Macaca mulatta: one gene and its partners. The protein of the gene in region 1 interacts with the protein of each later gene in a pairwise test. Links are inferred from orthologs where the notes say so. Each region holds a gene or a part of one and is shown in the gene's direction. Other genes may lie near its edges. The genes, in order: UBE2W, RNF26 and AMFR.

Region 1 (6,648 bases):
TCCTCCTTGTAACCTGATGGTCATTTCTAATTGCTGGGGAAATGAAAAAGTGAACATCATTATCAAATCTAACAAAAATAACAATTCCTTAATATTTTCTAATATCTACTCTATATTTAATTTTCTCCAGGTGTCTCAAAAATATCTTTTTTACAGTTTGTTTGAATCTAGATCCAAACAATGTTAACATATGCATTTGTTCAATATATCTCTTACGTGGCCAAGCATGGCCTGTAATCCCAGCACTTTGGAAGGCCAAGGCAGGTGGATCACTTGAGGCCAGGAGTTCGAGACCAGACAAAACCCCGTCTCTACTAAAAATATAAATATATATATATATATATATATATAAATAATTATATATATATATATATATATAAAATTACATATGATGTTATTGAGAAGATCCAGTAAGGATATGGGAAACTTTAACTTCATTATTGCTGAACTGTTTTCCAAAGTGATTGCACCAGTGTCACTCCTATAGAGTTTATGAGAGCTCCACTTCCTCTCTCACTTTTGGTATTATCAGATTTTTTTTTTTTTTTTGAGATGACAGGGTCTTGCTCTGTCACCTACACTGAAGTGCACTGGCATTATCCTGTCAGACATTTTAACTTTTGCCTGATAGTAATGATAGTAACGCTTGCTCTGTAGAGATATGAGCCTAGTCTTCAAACATTGCATAATAGTGTTTTAGATATTAACATTATATGCTCACTGGAGATAATTACATACCCCCCACACCATCTGTAAGTCACTGTTTTGGCTCCTATGTCAGGATCTTTTTATTAAATATTAACAAAAGAATGGCTGGGCGCAGTGGTTCACACCTGTAATCCCAGCCCTTTGGGAGGCTGAGGCAGGTGGATTACGAGGTCAGAAGTTCAAGACCAGGCTGGCCAACATGGTGAAACCTCATCTCTACTAAAGATACAAAAAATTACAAAAAATTAGCTGGGCATGGTGGTGTGTACCTGTAATCCCACCTACTTGGGAGGCTGAGAGAGGAGAATCACTTGAACCTGGGAGGCGGAGGTTGCAGTGAGCCAAGATCGCGCCATTGCACTCCAGCCTGGGTGACAGAGTGAGACTCCGTCTCAAAAAAAAAAAAAAAAAAGAAGACAGGTTATTATGTGCTATTTAGTATTACCTAGAAAGGATTACTGGCATTGACCTTTCCCTCCTGTGAAGATACTTCTAACATATATGAAACCCAAGGGACCAGATACTGGTTCCACTGTGATGAGTGTCAGAATTCTTGTAACCTCTTTTTTCCTCATTAGTATCTGTCATGGTAGGTTGTTGGCTCTGACGATGTCATAATGCTTTGTTTGTAGGGTCATCCGACACTACTTTTTCCATAGGAACAATCAGCTTTTAGGCAAAGTGAACCTTGGACAGTAAAACCTGATCTTCTGAGGTCACAGAAATAAAGACATCTCAAAGAAAATATACTGGAAACTTCTTTAAGTTTTCCTCCTTCATTGGGATACGTGGGTTTCCTCACTGTTGTAATGTTGATGACACAACAGGGCTAACACCGGATATGCTTCTGGTTGATTCCGGTTTACCAAGAGCATCCAAACATCCCTCAAGGACACAGTCATTTTGCACAACAAAGGGAAACTCCGCTCATTTCTGGCATTAGGGTGGACATCTGAGAGAGGGGAGGGTATACCACCGTAACTTCTCTAGTGATGAGTAGTGTTTAATATTATGCCATAGACTAACTGGCGTATTTTAAAGATCTTTTTCCTTTTTGAACACATTTCAGATTAGAGAAGTTCCAGAGAACGTAATCTATTTTAAGAGTGTGAAACAGTGATATTCTGCATTGCTTTTATATCTTAAAGAAATTTCTAAAAAGAAAGCCGAGTCAATAAAATGACAGATTTTAAGCCTTCATTCTGGTAACATAAAAGCCTTCTACTCATTGTGTCTGCCACCTTAATTTTTAAAGATAGAGCATGAGGTGCAAGCTTTTGGCTTCCATTTTCCTCTTATAAACCAATGACATCTTCAGTTCCAGAATAGCTTTTTTAAAACGTGACTTCTGATAAATGTTGGCAGAACTGGTGCATTCCTAAAATAAATTATGTATGCTCAGCTTTCCCTACCCAAGTTCATCCCTAACTGACCACAAAACTGCCCACCACGAAATAGGCTTAAGAGAAGTCTGGACATAATGGTCTAAGTGTATATAACACAACACTGGTATATTTTTAAAAATTCAGTATATTTTAAAAAATTCATGCCTAGGGTCAATTCTGATAATCAAATTTAGACTGCCGCAACAACCGTAACTACTGTTGATACATGCGAAGTTTAAAACTGAAGGGCTGGGGTAAGGGGCAGAAACTGTACACAACAAACTTCCAAATTTTCTCTCCCCTTTCAGGCAAGTTTCAGCTCCACAAATCTAAATACCCTCGCCTTTAAAATATCAGTGTCGTTTTGCTCTTTAATCCTCATCCTGTTGTACAAGGAAACCTATGTCTCTCTTCCCCAGATTAAGAATACAAGAAGCTTTCCAGGTCTACAAGGACCAGAAAGCAGCTGCGCGGGAAGTTTCATGGGGCCCCAAGGCTCTCAGAGTGGGCTTGACGGTATGGAAAACACATCCCAAGAGAAAAATCTGTGAACCGCACAGCTGTGTTTGGAAAACCAAAACGAAATAGAAAAAAATCTGAGCTGATCCGGACGGCATCAGGATTACGCGGTACACAAGAAGAAAACAACCGTAGCCGGGTCAAAACTGGAGCCGTGTCTCCTCAGTAACCAGAGTAAACGGAAGACCGACGCGGGAGCGGCGAACCGGACTGAGACCGAAGGTACTCGGAGCGCCATTTACCACGTCCTCGCCCCGCCCCCTAGCCCCTCCTCCCGTCCGCCCTGCGCGCCAGCCAATCCCCTCGCGCCATCACCTTCCCATCGTAGGCCCCGCCTCCGCGCCCGGGATGTTGAGCCCCCGCGGCGTGACGCGAGCACGGCAGCTCCTCCCCCTGCGTCTCTGGCCTCGCCGGTCTTGGGGGGATGGTTCCATCATGGCGTCAATGCAGGTGAGAGGAGTTTGCTGCATCTGGGCGGGCCAGGGAGCCGCCGAGAGAGTGCCAGCGTTCGGGCGGGGGTGGCGTCCGCGATTCGGGGACACCCGGGCGGGTTCGGGATCGGCCCGGGTGGCTTGTTTTCCTTCAGCTCAGGGCGTCGGGGGAGGGGTAAGAGGCGGCGAGAGGCGTTGGGGGGGTGCGGTATCCGTCGGTCGAAGCGGACACCAGCCGGCCGGGAAGTTGGGTGATAAAGGAGGCTTGGGGGAGAAAGGGCGAAGTCTGGTGTTGGCAGCCTCAGAATCGGCTCCCCGCGCACACACACACACACACACGGCCACTGCCAGTCTGCTGCCCGCCAGTCCCAGGGTTGCCTTTACCCCCGCTGTCCCTGGCCCGACGGAAACAGCTGCGCCCGCGGTTGTTGCCGGGGCAGGGGCGGCGAGGGGCTGAGTGTGGGGGAGCCGAGAAGGCGTCTCCGGAGAAGGCGACTGGCTGCGGACGGCGCTTAGCGGCCTCTGCTCCGGCCTCCCACGCCGGGCCCCCCAGACTGCTTGGCCCCGTCTCTCTCTTCTTCCCTTTGACTCTTAATCCTGTGCCCGTGGGTATCCGCTCTTTCCATCAGCCTCGGCATTCTCGCGGACATTACTTCAGCAGTCCAGTGTCTCCTCCTCTCGAAGCTGCCCCGAGTCCACTGCCTGATGGGCGATCTCCCGAGAGCCAAGTCCTCAGCCCCCTGAAACCTTTCGGGATAGCTCGCCCTTTATTTTGTTTCCCCCTACAAGGCCCCACCCTTGCGGTCGCGATAAGGCTATACATCTCTTTGCCCTTATTCGCAGACCTTTAGTGGAACCTTAGTTTGGTAGGAGGCGTTTGTTAACCTGTGCCACATCCACCCGACTTAGCAAGGCGTGGTTTTCTGGCTTTCCAACTTAATTTACTCCTTTTTCCCGAATTCAGGGAGTTGCGGGTTTTTTGTGTTTTTGTTTTCAGGCAAAGATGGCAACCACAATTGTAGTTTTGTAGAGATTGGCTGCGTTATCTATAGCCTGCATTTAATTCATAGGTGAAGACTAGCGGTATCAAAGACATTGGAAGAGAAAGTAGAACACTCAATAGGAGTGTCAGCTGAATACTCTTTAGCGTTTTAATAATATCCCCTTGGGTAAAGAGACCACGTTTTCTTAGAAGTGTTTTTTGCTTTTGTTTCTGAAAGAAGCAAGTCTCTGTTCCTCCTCCATTTTTTTTTCTTTTCTCTGCTAAAAGTGTTTTTCTTCCCTTTTCTGCAACTTCTTCCTCTTTTGTACAAATATATCTTTGCTTCACATTTACTCCTGTGCTTTTATGTTATTCCCCTTTCAACCTGTTTTCCTTACAATATTCTCTTTACTTTTGCTTCTCCCTCTGGACTTGCCTGCAGAACAGAAAAGTTTTATGTAACATTTCTAGTTGAAGAGATGTCACGAATGGTGCAGGGAAAAAAACAGGAACAATTTCAGGAAACATTATACTTTACACTAGTCCCCCAGAGACGTTAGAGAAGTTTCGTCATTTGAGGCCAAGAAAAGGAACTGTGGAATGCTAGTTGAACAGTAGATGCAATAGGCTACATGACCACTTAAAGATTTTTATCTGTGTTAAGATTAAAACATTTTTTATGACAAGTTTAAGATTATCTGTATTAAGATTAAAACATTATTTGAGAGTAAAAATTAAGATTAAAATCCACAACACTCGTGATAATATTTGACAAGAGAACGTAGTGTGCCATCTGGTTAGATTTAGTATCTGGAAAAGGCAGATTTGTTTGTAAGAGAAAGGTTGGTAATGTTGAACTTTACATGGTGTCTTTTTTTTTTTTTTTTTTTTTTTTTTTTTGAGACGGAGTTTAGCTCTTGTTGTCCAGGCTGGAGTGCAGTGGGGGCGATCTCGGCTCACCGCAGCCTCCGCCTCCCGGGTTCAAGTGATTCTCCTGCCTCAGCCTCCCGAGTGGCTGGGATTACAGGCATTGGCCATCACGCCCAGCTAATTTTGTATTTTTAGTAGAGACAGGAGTTTCTCCATGTTGGTCAAGCTGGACTTGAACCCCCGACCTCAGGTGATCCGCCCACTTCAGCCTCCCAAAGTGCTGGGATTACAGGTGTGAGCCACCGTGCCCGGCCTACATGATGTCTTAAGCAATGGAAACAAATACTTGATTGATAGTGCAATAGTGCATTTTTCTGTGCCCTAAGTATTACCTCAGACTGTCTTACCACTCTTTGAAGTTTTTCCTTCACCTTATTCCATCTAAATCTTATCACTCTCTATTCTTCTGTGTTTTCTGGTTAGAGGAATGGAAAATGGATGCTTAACTCTTTTTATTAAAGTAAAAAGTCTTTTCCTTTTGTTTGTATTTTAAAATATCTAGTGCAGATTTTCTGGTAGTATCTTTAAGAATATTTAAATATGTATAAGTCAGGCTTTTTGAAAGACAGCCCTACTTTCTGTGTGGTTATTCTGTATCTTTGTTGTACAGAATTTATATCCTATCTTAATGGCAACATCTGGCTCTTTTAAGACAACTAGATTATACATAAATCTTCAATCAAATTATCAAATTTGTTTAATCACTGAGCCAGTTACCTTTTGGGGGCCCTCTGTGTGTCAGACACTTATCTAGGTGCCGCGGTTATAGCAATGAACAAAAGCGAACAAGATTTTTGCCCTCATGGATTTAATAATAAATAGTCTGGTAAGAAGAGACAGATAATAACAGCATATTTAAGTTAATTGTTTTTTGTTTTTTGTGTTGAGATGGAGTCTCACTGTGTCGCCCATTCTGGAGTGTAGTGGTGCAATCACGGCTCGCTGCAACCTCTGCTCCCAGGGTTCTAGCAATTCTCCTACTTAGCCTCCTGAGTAGCTGGGATTACGGGTGCTGGCCACCACGACCAGGTAATTTTTTTGTGTTTTTCGTGGAGACTGGGTTTCGCTATGCTGGCCAGGCTGGTCTTGAACTCCTGACCTCAAGTGATCCTCTCGCTTCGGCCTCCCAAAGTGCTAGGATTACAGGTGGGAGCCACTGCACCTGGCCAAGTGTGTTACTATATTAGAAGGTGATAGTGCAGTGGAGAAAAAACATGGAAGGCTAGGAAATTGATCATTTGGGGATTTCGATTAGGAAAAAATAAACTGTAACATGGAATGACCATGTCCTTACTCAAAAAGCTTTTAGTAGATTTCTTTATCTTACCCACACCAGGTGTTGCTGCTGCTGAAGAAGTTACTTAAGCTGTAAGAGGAACTGTATTTTTTTTTATGCCATGTTATACACATGTAACATGGGATTTCATTACCTGATAAAAATTAAATAGTCTTTAGGATCAATGCAGTAAAACAAGTAAGACTTTGAATTTCTTTTGGAGAGTATGTATTTAAAGTTGAGCTAGTAACTGCTTTAATGTATTCTGTCAGTGCGTCTCAACCATCTTTTAGGTTCTGTCCACATAGAAAGTAAGTTTCGAATCGTACACTAAAGTAGATGATGAGATTGGGAGGCTAGAAGCACCTGGCAGCAGCTCCTCATGAAACTCCTGGGATGGGAGATCAATATCCTGGC
Region 2 (6,648 bases), on another chromosome or scaffold:
ACAGAGCAAGACTGTCTCAAAAAAAAAAAAAAAAAAAAAAAAAAAAAAAGATGTGCAGAATTGCTGAAGAGCTTCTTCGGCCCTGAACCGTGTTGTTTGCAGAGCTGATGTTTGGGGTTATAGGCTTTTCCATACCAGTAACGAACACTGGATCCTGACTGACAGAGGACCCCAGGTGCTCCTTTATGGAGACATTTTTGGCTATGTTTGTAATACTTGGGGTCCTCTGAAGCTTGGATGGCACTGGGAGGGAACAGGGTAGAGAGTACAAGGATGAGGCCGGGCGCGGTGGCTCAAGCCTGTAATCCCAGCACTTTGGGAGGCCGAGACGGGTGGATCACGAGGTCAGGAGATCGAGACCATCCTGGCTAACACGGTGAAACCCCGTCTCTACTAAAAATAATACAAAAAACTAGCCGGGCGAGGTGGCGGACGCCTGTAGTCCCAGCTACTCGGGAGGCTGAGGTAGGAGAATGGCGTAAACCCGGGAGGCGGAGCTTGCAGTGAGCTGAGATCGCCCCACTGCACTCCAGCCTGGGCAACAGAGCGAGACTCCGTCTCAAAAAAAAAAAAAAAAAAAAAAAAAAAAAAGAAAGAGAGTACAAGGATGAAAGCAAACCTTCTGTGACTATATCTTTTTATAAAGTTTTGACTTTGGGACTCTGTAAATGATTTGCATAATTAAAAAAGAAAATATAAAAGACCAACCTAAAACCATGGCAATAATATAGATTTTACTGAATGATTGATGAGGAGACGATGGGGAGGGCCATAATACACACAATAGCACAAAACAAAAGCCCTGAATTAGACATTCTTTTCTGGTTTTTCCAATCTCTTAATCCTCAATCCTCATAGTCTCTGAAAATCCCTTCTATTGTCCCAGCTAGAATCTTACGCTGAGCAAAACAAAACAAAACAAAACAAACCCTGAAGTTAGCACAACAGCAGAAATCAACTGCCGCCAGAGCAGGCTTCCAGAGGGCTTTACACTGCATCTTCCATTAGAAAATACTGCAAGGATAGAGCTTCAAGGTGTTCAGCTTTCTCAATATCTGGCTTATTTTCTTCTCAATCCCTGGGACTAACATTGTCAAACAATTTGAACTTCCTCCCTAAAGCTAGTTGGAGTGTTTGTCCCTGCCCAAAGCAGGATTACCTGCTAGGTTTCCTGGGAGTCAAGGGTTGTGGCTCATTAAAGATGGCTTTGCATTAGTGAGTCTCAGATCACTCAAAGGGGAGGTCTTGGTCCTAAACAAATGGAAATACTCTCTTAGAGGATCCTGCCAACTCTGAGAAGGCCTTTACATGCTTCTTGGTGTGGAAAACTGGCCAGTTAATTGCACATAGTACAGGCACAGCACGTTTGCCAGGTTTGACTTTGGACATAATGAGTAGGAAGCACCAGTGGGATACCCAGGAACTCTTCATGTCCAGGAAGCAGCTGGAGCCTGAACTTTGCAGGACAGGTTCAGGCTGAAGACACAAATTTAGAAATTATTGTGTATACAGGAGAGGAGGCTATGATGGAAACAGAAAGAATATAGGAAAGGGTAATGCCTCTGAGGCAGGAAGTGGTCAGTGGTGTCAAGTGCTGCAGGAAGATTGATTAATAACAACACAGTGTTCACTGGACAAGTAAGATCCCTGAAGAGGAGATGGTACGGGTGATGGGATCAAGTGTCTTGAAAGGGAAGTGGGCACATTCTCCAAGATTTGACACTGGCAGGAGGATGCAAGTGGGCAAATAAAAACATCATCAACACATCACAACACAACAAACCATAACCTGGGCAGGGCCTGAGAGCAGCGAGAGAGAAAGGGTAGGAAGAAGCCAGAGGAGTTTCAGCGCCTGCAGTCCTTCCTCTGCACCGTAGCGTAGCCCCTACCACGACCCCACGGCCTCAGTAAAGGTTTGCTGCACACCTCAGCTTCTTATCAGTGATGCTTTGGAGAATGAAGGACTCCGAGGCAGTGTTCAGGGCAGAGTGAAGGGGGATGGACAATTTGAGGAGCCCAGGAGTGGAGATGGAGAATTCAACCCAAGTAGGAAATTCAGCAAAGGTAACCAGGGGAAAGATAAGTCCGCTAGGAGTCCGCTAAGTATCCTTGGAGTTAGTAGAAAATCCCAGGATTCCCAATATATTTGGGATGGGGTTTCAAATATATTTTGACTATTGTTTGAGTATTAAAGAAAAGGGCAGGGCCAGGCTTGGTGGCTGACGCCTGTAATCTCAGCACTTCGGGAGGCCGAGGCGCCTGGATCACGAGGTTCAGGAGCTGGAGGCCAGCCTGGCCAACATGGTGAAACCCCGTCTCTACTAAAAATACAAAAATTAGCCGGGTGAGGTGGTGGGCGCCTGTACTACCCGGGAGGCTGAAGCAGGAGAGAATCGCTTGAACCCAGGAGGCAGAGGTTGCAGTAAGCCGAGATCGCGCCACTGCACTCTAGGGTAGGAAGGCCCAGGGTAGCAAGCTGAGCTGTTTCGAAATCTGCAGCCACCTTTTCTCAATGACAATGAAGTAATCTTCCAAGATGTTGAAAAACCTGGTGCGGAAAGTTTGGAGTAGCAGTTTGGGAATCTCCTGTAATAATCCGCTTTCCCTTGTGAACCTCAGGCACTGTCTTAAAATTTTTTGTATCCTCAATGCACTGTAGGAGCTCAACAAATGATAGAATAGATGAATAAATAGAGGAGAATGAGGAGACGGATCTGAACAGGCTGCGAAGGAGGTGCTATTCCAAAGCCCAGCCCAGAGGCAGTGACCTCGGACTCAAACCAAAAAAAACAGCTCGCGTTCGGAGGCCGGGAGAAAGAACAGCTCCCAAATTAAGGGGAGTCCAAGGCCTTGCTCTTTTAGAGGGCGGGGCTAGGAGAACGTATTCCGACGCTGCCCGTCAACGAGCCAATCCCCGCCTCAAGGGGGAGGGGATTTAATCTGTCGCCGCTCCTTCCCTTCGGAAAGTAAATACGTTCGTGCGCCATTCAAACGGACCAATGAGTGATTGACGTTGTTGCGCTTGGCCCTCACCGATTGGCTGGAGTTTGTCGTCCCTCCCTCCTCGTCATCCCTCTGGCTCCACCCCTTTGCACACAAGATGGCGGCGCCCAGCGGAATAGGGGCTGCGCTTGGGGTTTGCTGAAGCTGGTTGCCTCTCCCACTCCCCTTTTGGGTGCAAAGCGCCGCTAACGGGAGGACGGGGGCCGGGCGGGGACAGGGGCACCTGCGTAGCTGGACTGCGAGCCCGCGCCCAGCTTGCGTCGACCCCACCCGGCCCCGGCCCGACCCGACCCGACCCGATCCGATCCAATCCGATCCCATTCCATCTGTTCCCCGTCTCCTCCCGGTCTGACCCATTGCCCGGCCGTGGTTCGCCACACCAGGCATCCAAAGCTGAGGTCGCTCCTACGGCCTGGGCTCGCCTTCGCTTTGGAGATGTTTGGGCTCTTCCCTCCCAAACAGCCCATCTTCAAAACCTGGACTCTTGGACTGGCACCTGGCCCCCTTTCCCTCTACCAAGACTCCTCTTCCCTCTTACCCACTTCTTCCTCAGATTCTTGGTACCGCCTGTGTTGGAGACTGCTCATTTTCCTTCCAAATTAATCCCAGACCCCCTAAAATATTGACAACCTAGACAACCCCACAACCGAGGAGCCAGACTTTCTTTTGGACTAACCTCCATAGCCCTATCATGGAGGCAGTGTACCTGGTAGTGAATGGGGTGGGCCTGGTGCTGGACGTGCTGACCTTGGTGTTGGACCTCAACTTCCTGCTGGTGTCCTCCCTCCTGGCTTCCCTGGCCTGGCTCCTGGCCTTCGTCTACAACCTGCCGCACACGGTACTGACTAGTCTTCTGCACTTGGGCCGCGGAGTCCTGCTTTCATTGCTGGCCTTGATCGAAGCCGTGGTCCGGTTCACATGTGGGGGCTTGCAGGCCTTGTGTACCCTGCTCTATAGCTGCTGCTCTGGCCTGGAGAGCCTAAAGCTCCTGGGGCACCTGGCCTCTCACGGGGCACTGCGGAGCAGGGAAATACTGCACCGGGGCGTCCTCAGTGTGGTCTCCAATGGCCATGCTTTGCTGCGCCAGGCCTGTGACATCTGTGCCATTGCCATGAGCCTGGTGGCTTATGTGATCAACAGCCTGGTCAACATCTGCCTCATCGGCACTCAGAACCTCTTTTCCCTGGTGCTGGCCCTGTGGGATACAGTGACCGGGCCTCTGTGGAGGATGACGGATGTAGTGGCTGCCTTCCTAGCCCACATTTCCAGCAGTGCTGTGGCCATGGCCATCCTCCTTTGGACACCCTGCCAACTAGCCCTGGAGCTGCTGGCCTCAGCTGCCCGCCTCCTGGCCAGCTTTGTGCTTGTCAATCTCACTGGCCTGGTGTTGCTGGCTTGCGTGCTGGCAGTGACGGTGACTGTGTTGCATCCGGACTTGACCCTGAGACTGGCTACCCAGGCACTCAGCCAGCTCCATGCCCGGCCATCCTACCACCGTCTTCGAGAGGATGTCATGAGGCTCTCTCGCCTAGCACTGGGCTCAGAGGCCTGGCGCCGAGTCTGGAGCCGCAGCCTGCAGCTGGCGAGTTGGCCGAACCGCGGAGGGGCACCTGGAGCCCCCCAGGGTGACCCTATGAGGGTGTTCTCAGTTAGGACCCGGAGACAGGACACTTTTCCTGAAGCGGGGCGCAGATCAGAGGCAGAAGAGGAGGAGGCCAGGACCATCAGAGCGACACCTGCCAGGGGCCGAGAGAGGCTCAACGATGAGGAGCCTCCAGGCGGGCAAGACCCGTGGAAGTTGCTGAAGGAGCAAGAGGAGCGGAAGAAGTGTGTCATCTGCCAGGACCAGAGCAAGACGGTGTTGCTCCTGCCCTGCAGGCATCTGTGCCTGTGCCAGGCCTGCACTGAAATCTTGATGCGCCACCCCGTCTACCACCGCAACTGCCCGCTGTGCCGCCGGGGCATCCTGCAGACCCTCAATGTCTACCTCTGAAGACTCCTTCCCTACCTGCCCACCCCTCCACGCTCCATGCAGGCACTCACGCTAGGACAGCATTAACAGCTCATCTCCGGGTCCTGGTCTGAATCCCTCCTACCCCTGTGGCTGTCCTGCCAGGCCTCCAAGCCATACATCCAGGACATTGAGATGGAAGACTATGATGTGGGTGGGGGCAGGATAACATAGCTTCTCCTTACCCAGTGGGTCCCTTCGATGCTGAGGGTGGTGAGTATGTCACTATGCAAGGGCCTTGAGACTGTTTGCTGTGGGCTCTCCTCCAGCTTGCCCAGGGCCCACCCAGCTGCCTCTGGGGTTACCCCTCTCTGCTTGTGGTTTTTCTGTTGGAGATCTGTAGGTCCTTTTCCTGCCTCCTTCACATTTCCTCCCCAGCTTTTGTGGCCACAACATATCAGTGTTATTTGGGTGTTTTGGCAACTCAGGGGCCTTCGGATGATCTTGAACCTTTGTGTTCAGCCAGAGCCCCTGTGCCCTGGTAGGCTTTGGGGTTAGTATCTCTCAGGTACCCTCAGAGCCACCTCTGCCTGTCATCGTCTGATGAGGCTCCCTCCCAACCTGATCCAAAAGCTGGGCTCACGAGTTTACCCCTGGGATGGGGGATGCATCTGCACCTGACTTTGGGACCATGTGCTCTCTGGCACCCCAACTCACTGCAAGTCTCAGGAGGGATAACCAGATTTCTACTCATTCCCCTTTCACTCCCACATCACACAGAAAAATGGCATTCCTCTCTGTCTCTCCCTGGCATTGGAGAGGGCAGACTGTGCACAGTTCACTAGGGTCCAAATACAGAAGGGGCCAGGGCCCAGGGGCTTGCAGCTTCCTGAGGGGTCTCTGGCCCAGTTTCCTATGAATAAAGTTATCTTGACAGCTCTGACAGTCTCTTGTGCGTCCCTGCAAGGGAGCAGTTGGTCAAGGCAACAGACCCTGCATCAGGGTCCTTCAGCCCTGCCGGAGTCAGAAGTGTGGGCTGTGGGAGTACCTGGGCTTTAGCGGGGGAGACAGGGAAGGAGCTAAGATAGGCTGGGAAGACTGTGTCATGGGGAGAGTGCATGCCAGGCGTGGCTCTGTGAGCTGTCATCCCTTCTGATTTGTCCCCTTGCACACGTGGCTTTCGAAAAGCCTTCTGTATTTTTTCTATTTTTGCCCAAATTAAGCCCTTGTAGAGAGGAATGTGAACCATCTCACCGCTTGAGTCAGCCTTCCCAGCCCCTCCCCTCCCCGGGCCAGTCTTCCTGGGAGGGAGCATGGGGTTCCTGCTGCCTGGATCCCAGGAGGAGCTGGTGTGTGTCCCTGTGTGTCTTAGCATGGGGTCTGGTGCAGGGCTGGGTTGGAGTGTGGCTGCGGGACCTCCTGATGGAGGCTGCCTGAGGCCTGTCTCTAGCTCACATTTGGGCTCAGTCCCCATTGGCCGTATCTGCCCTCACATGACCAGCGGAAGAGCAGGGGCACTCCCCCATAATTGTATGTTCTGTCTGGGACCACAGTGCCTGGGACTGCCTTCAGGAAGGGGGCGCCGGTAGCTCAGGAAGAACTCTGAGGAGAGGCCCCCCTTCCTTGGGTTGAGGCTGTGCAGATGGGGCTGGGCAGTCCTGGTTTGTTAGTCATTGGGTTGGAGGTGGGCCCCC
Region 3 (6,648 bases), on another chromosome or scaffold:
GCTACTGGATTAGATAGTGAAGTTCAGCTTCTAGGATTTTGAGAATCTTAAGCAACAACAAAGCCACTCAACCAGTCTCACATGATGGTGAATGAGGTCATGAATATGAAAGGACTTCAGATATTTTAAAAATGAAAATAGCATTGTATCTAGGTATGAATCTTAGTCCACACAAACTGATTTGCCTGAAATAATTATTTTATTCCCTTTAAATCAAACCAAGTCAGAACCACCATCCCACAAAGATGGCAGGAAATTCAGTCTATCAGTCATAATGGAAATGAAGGAGCTATTTGAAGTCTCAAATCTAGAAGGCATAGTGGTATTCTGAAATGAAGGTGGTGGTGACGAGGAAGCTCGAGCTTTCATCATGGACTCTACTGATTCTTGTCCAAGCAGGACCAGCCTCTCAAAGTCTGATGCTGTCATCAGTCTGCCACACTTGGGGCTTGGGACACAGCTGACAGGTAGCCTGTATGTTGATTCAGTCTCCCCAGGCACATTAAGCATTCATCCCTTTTGGGTCCTGCCTCCTCCCCTGGTCCTCTCATGGAGTAAGATGCAGTTACCAAGAACTAGAAGTATTGGTTAAGACTTAAGAAGACTTGTTTGGTTATTGCCAAAATGTCCTTCCTTGAGACAAGGGTGTGCAAAGTACCTTCTTGGAGTGGGAAAGGAAAAAGTAATGGTAGAAAAATTACTAATTCTAGTAAAAGATCCAAACACAAACCGTTTACATTCTTTAAAAATGCAAACAAAAAATAAGCTTTTATAGTTGGGTTAACTTCCCCTGTTCATGTGAAGTTTCAGAAAGTCCAAGCTTCTAAAAGTTTAATAAGGGCAGATCTATTAAGAGCAGCCTGTTTGTAAGGGTGACAGGACAAATTTGGTTTGTGATAGTTTAGAACTACTGTGGCTAGGATTGAATAAAGATTACCAGTTAGTGGTTTAAAAGTTATGATGGCCCAGATCTTGACCTGTAAAGTAGAACACTTCCCTGAAAATTACAATATTTTTTCAAAATAAAGTTTTCCTTTGTTTTACTGATAAAGTTTAAAGTGTAGCATTTTAATTGCATGGCTGTGGGAAAAAAACCAAAGTGAACTCAAGTCTAGTATTCATATAGACCTTGTTTTAAAAAAATGCACGTGTACAAAGGTAAGACCTCTCCTTGTCCCGGTAAAACTAAACGTTCATCAAAGACCCTTTAACAAGATGTTTCTAAAATTTCCAAAGTGGAATGGTAAGCCTGAGAGATCTTTTGTTTTATAGTTAATAGACTTTTAGAATATTAGGCATGAAGAAAGACTTTGAAAGATAATTTGGTCCTTTTCTTTAGAAAGTTTGGAAAATCCTACAAATATTTACAGAGCACCTACTCTGGGCTGGGAAGTATTACAGGCCTTGGGGATGCAAAAGGAATAAAACTCCCAAGGTAACATTTTTTTCCCTTTGGTAACAGCTTATTGAGATACAATTCACATATTGAGATAGAACTATTTAAAGTGTACAATTCAATGATTTTTCAGAGTTGTGCAATCATCACCTCAATTTTACATTTTCATCACTTTGAAAACAAACCTGTCCCAGCCAGTGACTCACGCCTGTAATCCCTGCACTTTCCGAAGCCGCGGTGGGAGGATCACTTGGGCTCAGGAGCCACAGACAGGTCTGGACAATATAGCAAGACGCTGTCTCTACCAAAAATTAAGGATTAGCCACGTGTGGTGGCATATGCCTATAATCCCATCTACTGGAGAGACTGAAGCAGGAAGATTTCTTGAGCCCAGAAGGTGGAGGATGCAGTGAGCCATGCTCCTGCCACTGTACGTACTCCAGCCTGGGCCACAGACCCTGTCTCTTAAAAGAAACCTGTGCCCTTTATCACCCCCTACCTTCCCTCTTCCTCCCATCCCTAAGCAACCATTAATCAACTTTCTGGGTCTGTATATGTACTTGCCTATTGTGGACATTTCATATCAATGGAATCACACAACACGTGGACCTTTGTGGCTGTCTTCTTTGACTTAGCACGTGTTTAAGGTTCATCCCTATTGTAGCATGTATCAGTAGTTCATTTTTATGACCGAATAGTACATTGTATGGATATATCACATTTATCTACTCATCACTTGATGGACATTAGCGTTGTTTCCATCTTTTGGTTGTTAGAATGGTATCAACATTTGTGTACAAGTTTTGTGTGGAGGTATGTTTCCACTTTTCTTAGAGGACTGGAATTACTGGGTCAAATGGTCACTCTTGTTTGACTTTAAGGAAAGGGCAGATTATTTTCCAAGACAGCCGCACCATTTGACATTCTCACTTCTGGTGTATGAGGGAACACATTTTTATTTCCCGCTAAATCAGGTTCATTTTTTAGTTTCTGCTGGAGGCTACTAGTAAACAGCAGAAACTTGAAAGACTGTTAATATTTTTTCTTCTGGGGTTTTGGGCACCAGGGAAGCTGCTCGGCCCCTAGGAGTGCTTGGGGGTAACTAGCTTCAGAGGGTTAATGGTGGGGGTTAAGTGGGCAGCGGCCTGGTGGCCAGGGTCCCCCGCGCCCTGAGGCCCGGCCCGCCCGTCAGCGCCTGCGGGCCCGAGTGACGCCCGCGCCGCGGCCGGAGCAGGTGCCCTCTGTGTCCGTGGGCCCAGCCGAGCCGTGGTGCGGGCAGCGGATGATGCTGGGTGCCGGCCCCCGGGGCCTGAGGCCTGGGCCTACGCCCGCTAGGCGGCGGCGCGACCGCTGGGGGCGGGGGACGAAGGCCGCGCCCCTGCGCCCGTCCCGCCCGCGTCCCGCTGGGGGCGGTGGCCTGCCCGGAGCCCGCCGAGGCTCTTCCGCGCCGGCAGGGGCAGCAGCGGGAGCAGCGCGGGGCGGAGCGGCGCCAGCAGCCAGGAGCGGCCCGGCCCGGCCCGGCGTGGCGGCAGCGGCGGCGGCGGCAGCGGCAGCGGCAGCGACAGCGACGCCAGAGCCCGTGGGCGCCGTTCGCGAGACCGCGGCAGGGGCCCGGCCGCAGCGCGGGGAGGCCCGGAGACCGGAGGTCGCCGCTGCCGCCATGCCGCTGCTCTTCCTCGAGCGCTTCCCCTGGCCCAGCCTCCGCACCTACACGGGCCTCAGCGGCCTGGCCCTGCTGGGCACCATAATCAGCGCCTACCGCGCGCTCAGCCAGCCTGAGGTCGGCCCGGGCGAGCCGGACCAGCTAACGGCCTCGCTGCAACCCGAGCCGCCGGCGCCCGCCCGGCCGAGCGCGGGGGGACCACGGGCCCGCGACGTGGCCCAGTACCTGCTCTCAGATAGCCTCTTCGTGTGGGTGAGCGAGGCGACCGGGCCCGCGGGGCAGGGACGGGGTCCGCTGCGTCACCCTTTATCCGCGGGGGGCGTGGTGGGCCAAGGGGCCCCTGCGCCAGGGACCCCGGAGGGCAAGCGCCTGGGGGGCGCGGCCTTGCCTGCGGGAGCGCTGCCTAGGTAGAGTGGTGAGGCGCTGGGGGGCAGCGGGGGGGAACCGCGGGCGGGAGGAACATCATGTGGAGTTGCGAGGAGGAGGCCCCGAGGGGCAGGGCAGCGTTGGGGGCTCCGGGAAGGGAGTCGGGGAGGCGGCGGGCGAGGGTCTGCGTGGGGGTGCGGACGGGGCCCAGGGCAGGAGAAGGGGTTAAAGGGCAGTGGGGAGGAAGGGGCTGGGGACCCTCGGGAGAAACTAGACTAAGATCTCAGAGGGCAGGTTCAAGGGGAGGTCGGGATCTGGGAGTGCGTTATCCCTAGGGTTGGACAAAGTAGAGGGAAGTTGAAAGCTTTTCCCACTTGGTCAAGCATGGGATTGTTGTTAGCGGGTTTTCTTCCGACGAAAAGGAGAGGGCAGAGGGGAGAATTCAGACGTTGAGTATGGGGGAATTTTCAGCACTTGGATGTCTTTGGACATTCCAGTTGGAGAGAGGCGTCTCCTACAACTTTTTTGCCGGTTAGTATTCGATTGTCCCCTTTGGGAGCTGTTTAATGAAACAAACACCAGGCAAACTGTGCTTCCTTTTCTGCTGCCTTTACCTGATGATTCATGACAGTTTTCCTTTGATGTATGAACACAGCAAAACATTCGCAGTGTCAAGAGGCAGCCCATCATGTTAACTGAATGTTTCTTATTTGAGGATCTATTCTAACGCAGTTTCCAGGTTGTCTGCCCCCGCGAGATAAGCAGCATTGATAAGGCACACATGCTGGTTTCCTTCATTAGAATAGATAATTTCAGACTGAGCAGATCAATGATATTTTGGCTACAGAATTTTGCTTTCACCTTGGCCTTGAATACTTACGTAAATCCCACAGTGATCAGAAAAGTTTCTCCAGGATTTAAAGTCTCACTTGGATTTAATATGGCTTCTTGGATTTTGTCTCCTTCCAAGTTCCCATTTGGGGTTGAAAGTAGGCTGTAAATGACTGAGAGATTAATATTCCAAGTTGACAGGATGATATGCAACTCATTTGTTATAATTAGTCCCACTGTGCTTCATCAGGAAGCGGTGGGATTTATGGACTCTGTGGGCTGTGGATTAAGTCTCCTGGTCCTTCTGATGGAGAGTTCAGTAGAAGGCAGTGAAGGGTGAAGTTCCTGTTTGTCTACTGCTGTGTAAAACTGAACTTTACAGACCCAAAGAAGGGAGAAGAGAAAGAACTCACCCACATCTCTTGCTTAATTTCAAATCTGATTTTGCATTTGAGTTGCAGGTAAACAACTTAAAGTGATATAGAGAGTGTTTTTGCCATATGTTAAGATTATAATGTAGTCTTTGATATTTTTTAAGTCTGAGATATAAATAAGCCTTTGAGAAGGAACCCTTATTTTATTTATATAACAACCTTGGCATTATTTAATGGATTTTCCCCCGCAGGACTTTCTTTTGATAAAAGCCATGTTCAGATTCTAAGGTTAATACCTCTTCAGAAAACATTACATAAAAGGCTGTTGATTTTTCTGTGATGATGATTACTTTTTAGGAAATTTCCTTTTCTTCCAGCATTTTCAGTAGAGGTCTTACCTCTGGCAAGTTTATCACTTCTTACTCTCTGCTGATGATATTTTCATTTCTCAGTTGATCCTAGTGCTGTTTTTCCTCCATCTTTCCTCTGGGTGTTTATTTCCACGTGTTTATTTTGGCCTGCTTTGGTTTCTCAGAGCCTCCATGTGCTCACTGTGAGTTTGTCTCATCACTCAGTGTTTATGTAGTTTCTGCTTTAGCAGCTGAGTAGAAGTGACAATCTCAAAAGCCTTCCCCAGTGGTGGGACAGATAAGATTGTTGAGTGAATACCCTATGTGGTGGTGCCTTTGTCAACTGGATCCTCCCCTAGTTCTGTTGAATTCGGATTCAACTTTTTCACAAACACTGCCTGCCAAGGCCAAGTAAGACAAAACAAAGACTGATCCTTCTGCCAGTGCAAGTCCTGCTAGATATTGTTTAACATATTGCAGTTCCTAAAACTTATCTTTGTGGAGCACAGTTTAGAATAATATCGGTCTGATAGCATCACAGGAGGTTTTTCATGAACAAACTCAATTTAAAACCTTTTGAAGGTGTTATTTTGGGCACTCTGGAGGGCATATCTGTGAACAACACTTTCCCCTACCCTCAGTAATATGGCACAATTTTACAGGTGATAATAGATAAATAAAATGCAGCAGAGTTTGGAGGAAAAAGAAAGGAATTGTGCCTAGGGAAGGGTTCGTGGAAGGTGGTGTTTGAACCATCTTGGAAGGTGGGAAGGGTCTCAACCAGCAGCAATGGGTATTCCAGATAAAGAAACCAGCATGTGGAGCTCGGTCTGGCTGGGGGAGGACAGTGCTGGGCACAGGCAGGGTGGTCTGGAAGCTGGGCTGTTAAATAAAAAATCTGTTGAATCTTCTGGTTTAAGAGGGAGGTTGAGAAGGTGAAGAGGAGACTGGGGGGTGAAGGAGGTGGGGCAGGTGCCTCTGCTGTGAGAGGAGGAGGTGAGCAACCCCTTTGAAGGTTTCTTTCTCAAAGTGTGGACCTCTGGCAGCCTGGTATGTGGTCATCTGGGGTACTTGTAAAGTGTAGTTTCCCTGGGGATCCATTTCAGAGAGAAGGGTGGAGCCTTGGAATCTTCATTTTAATGAATGCCCTAGGTGATCTGAGGGACACTAGTGGTTGAAAAACTAACCTAGGAAGAGGCTGGAGTATGGTGTCATGTAACCTTGACCTTGCTTGCTCTACCAAGTGTGGACAGTATTGGGGCTTAAGTGGGGGTGGGGCATGGAGGAATAGGGGTGCTGTCATGATTTCTTTCAGAAGATAGTCTGGGAGCAGTGTGGAAGATAGAGTTATGTAGAGTGGGAAGAGGACGGGAGATCTAGTGACCTATAACTTCCTCCTCCCAAGGGGGCCTCTCCAGGTGGCCCTCATACATGACATTGAGAACGGATTTGGGAGGAGGCTTCTGGGTTTTTACACTAACAGATATGTGGGTTTGACCTGACCTTTTGTTTCCCCTTGTCTTTCTAAAACTTCCACCCTAAAGTTTGATTTCAGATGAGTTTTTATTTTGTTACTCATTTCTGGGCTATTTTACATTGCTCAGATAATGCTTCTATTCAGCTCCCTCTTGGTCCCTTCTAGCATGGTTTTGGATTGTTCAGGTGTTT

Evidence for each region.
Region 2: the proteins of UBE2W (region 1) and RNF26 interact in a two-hybrid assay, tested with the Homo sapiens proteins (2 studies listed by BioGRID and IntAct). The link is inferred for Macaca mulatta from reciprocal best matches to the Homo sapiens genes UBE2W and RNF26.
Region 3: the proteins of UBE2W (region 1) and AMFR interact in a two-hybrid assay, tested with the Homo sapiens proteins (2 studies listed by BioGRID and IntAct). The link is inferred for Macaca mulatta from reciprocal best matches to the Homo sapiens genes UBE2W and AMFR.

The regions. Positions count from the first base shown.
Region 1 is NC_133413.1:84,449,587-84,456,234, reverse strand, and holds the start of UBE2W (ubiquitin-conjugating enzyme E2 W), read left to right. Parts: upstream 1-3,047; coding exon 3,048-3,062; exon of another isoform or gene 3,063-4,332; intron 4,333-6,648. UniProt on the Homo sapiens protein: Accepts ubiquitin from the E1 complex and catalyzes its covalent attachment to other proteins.
Region 2 is NC_133419.1:120,022,589-120,029,236, forward strand, and holds RNF26 (E3 ubiquitin-protein ligase RNF26), read left to right. Parts: upstream 1-3,093; 5' UTR 3,094-3,694; coding exon 3,695-4,996; 3' UTR 4,997-5,890; downstream 5,891-6,648. UniProt on the Homo sapiens protein: E3 ubiquitin-protein ligase that plays a key role in endosome organization by retaining vesicles in the perinuclear cloud.
Region 3 is NC_133425.1:51,979,383-51,986,030, reverse strand, and holds the start of AMFR (E3 ubiquitin-protein ligase AMFR), read left to right. Parts: upstream 1-2,835; 5' UTR 2,836-3,056; coding exon 3,057-3,311; intron 3,312-3,394; exon of another isoform or gene 3,395-3,474; intron 3,475-6,648. UniProt on the Homo sapiens protein: E3 ubiquitin-protein ligase that mediates the polyubiquitination of lysine and cysteine residues on target proteins, such as CD3D, CYP3A4, CFTR, INSIG1, SOAT2/ACAT2 and APOB for proteasomal degradation.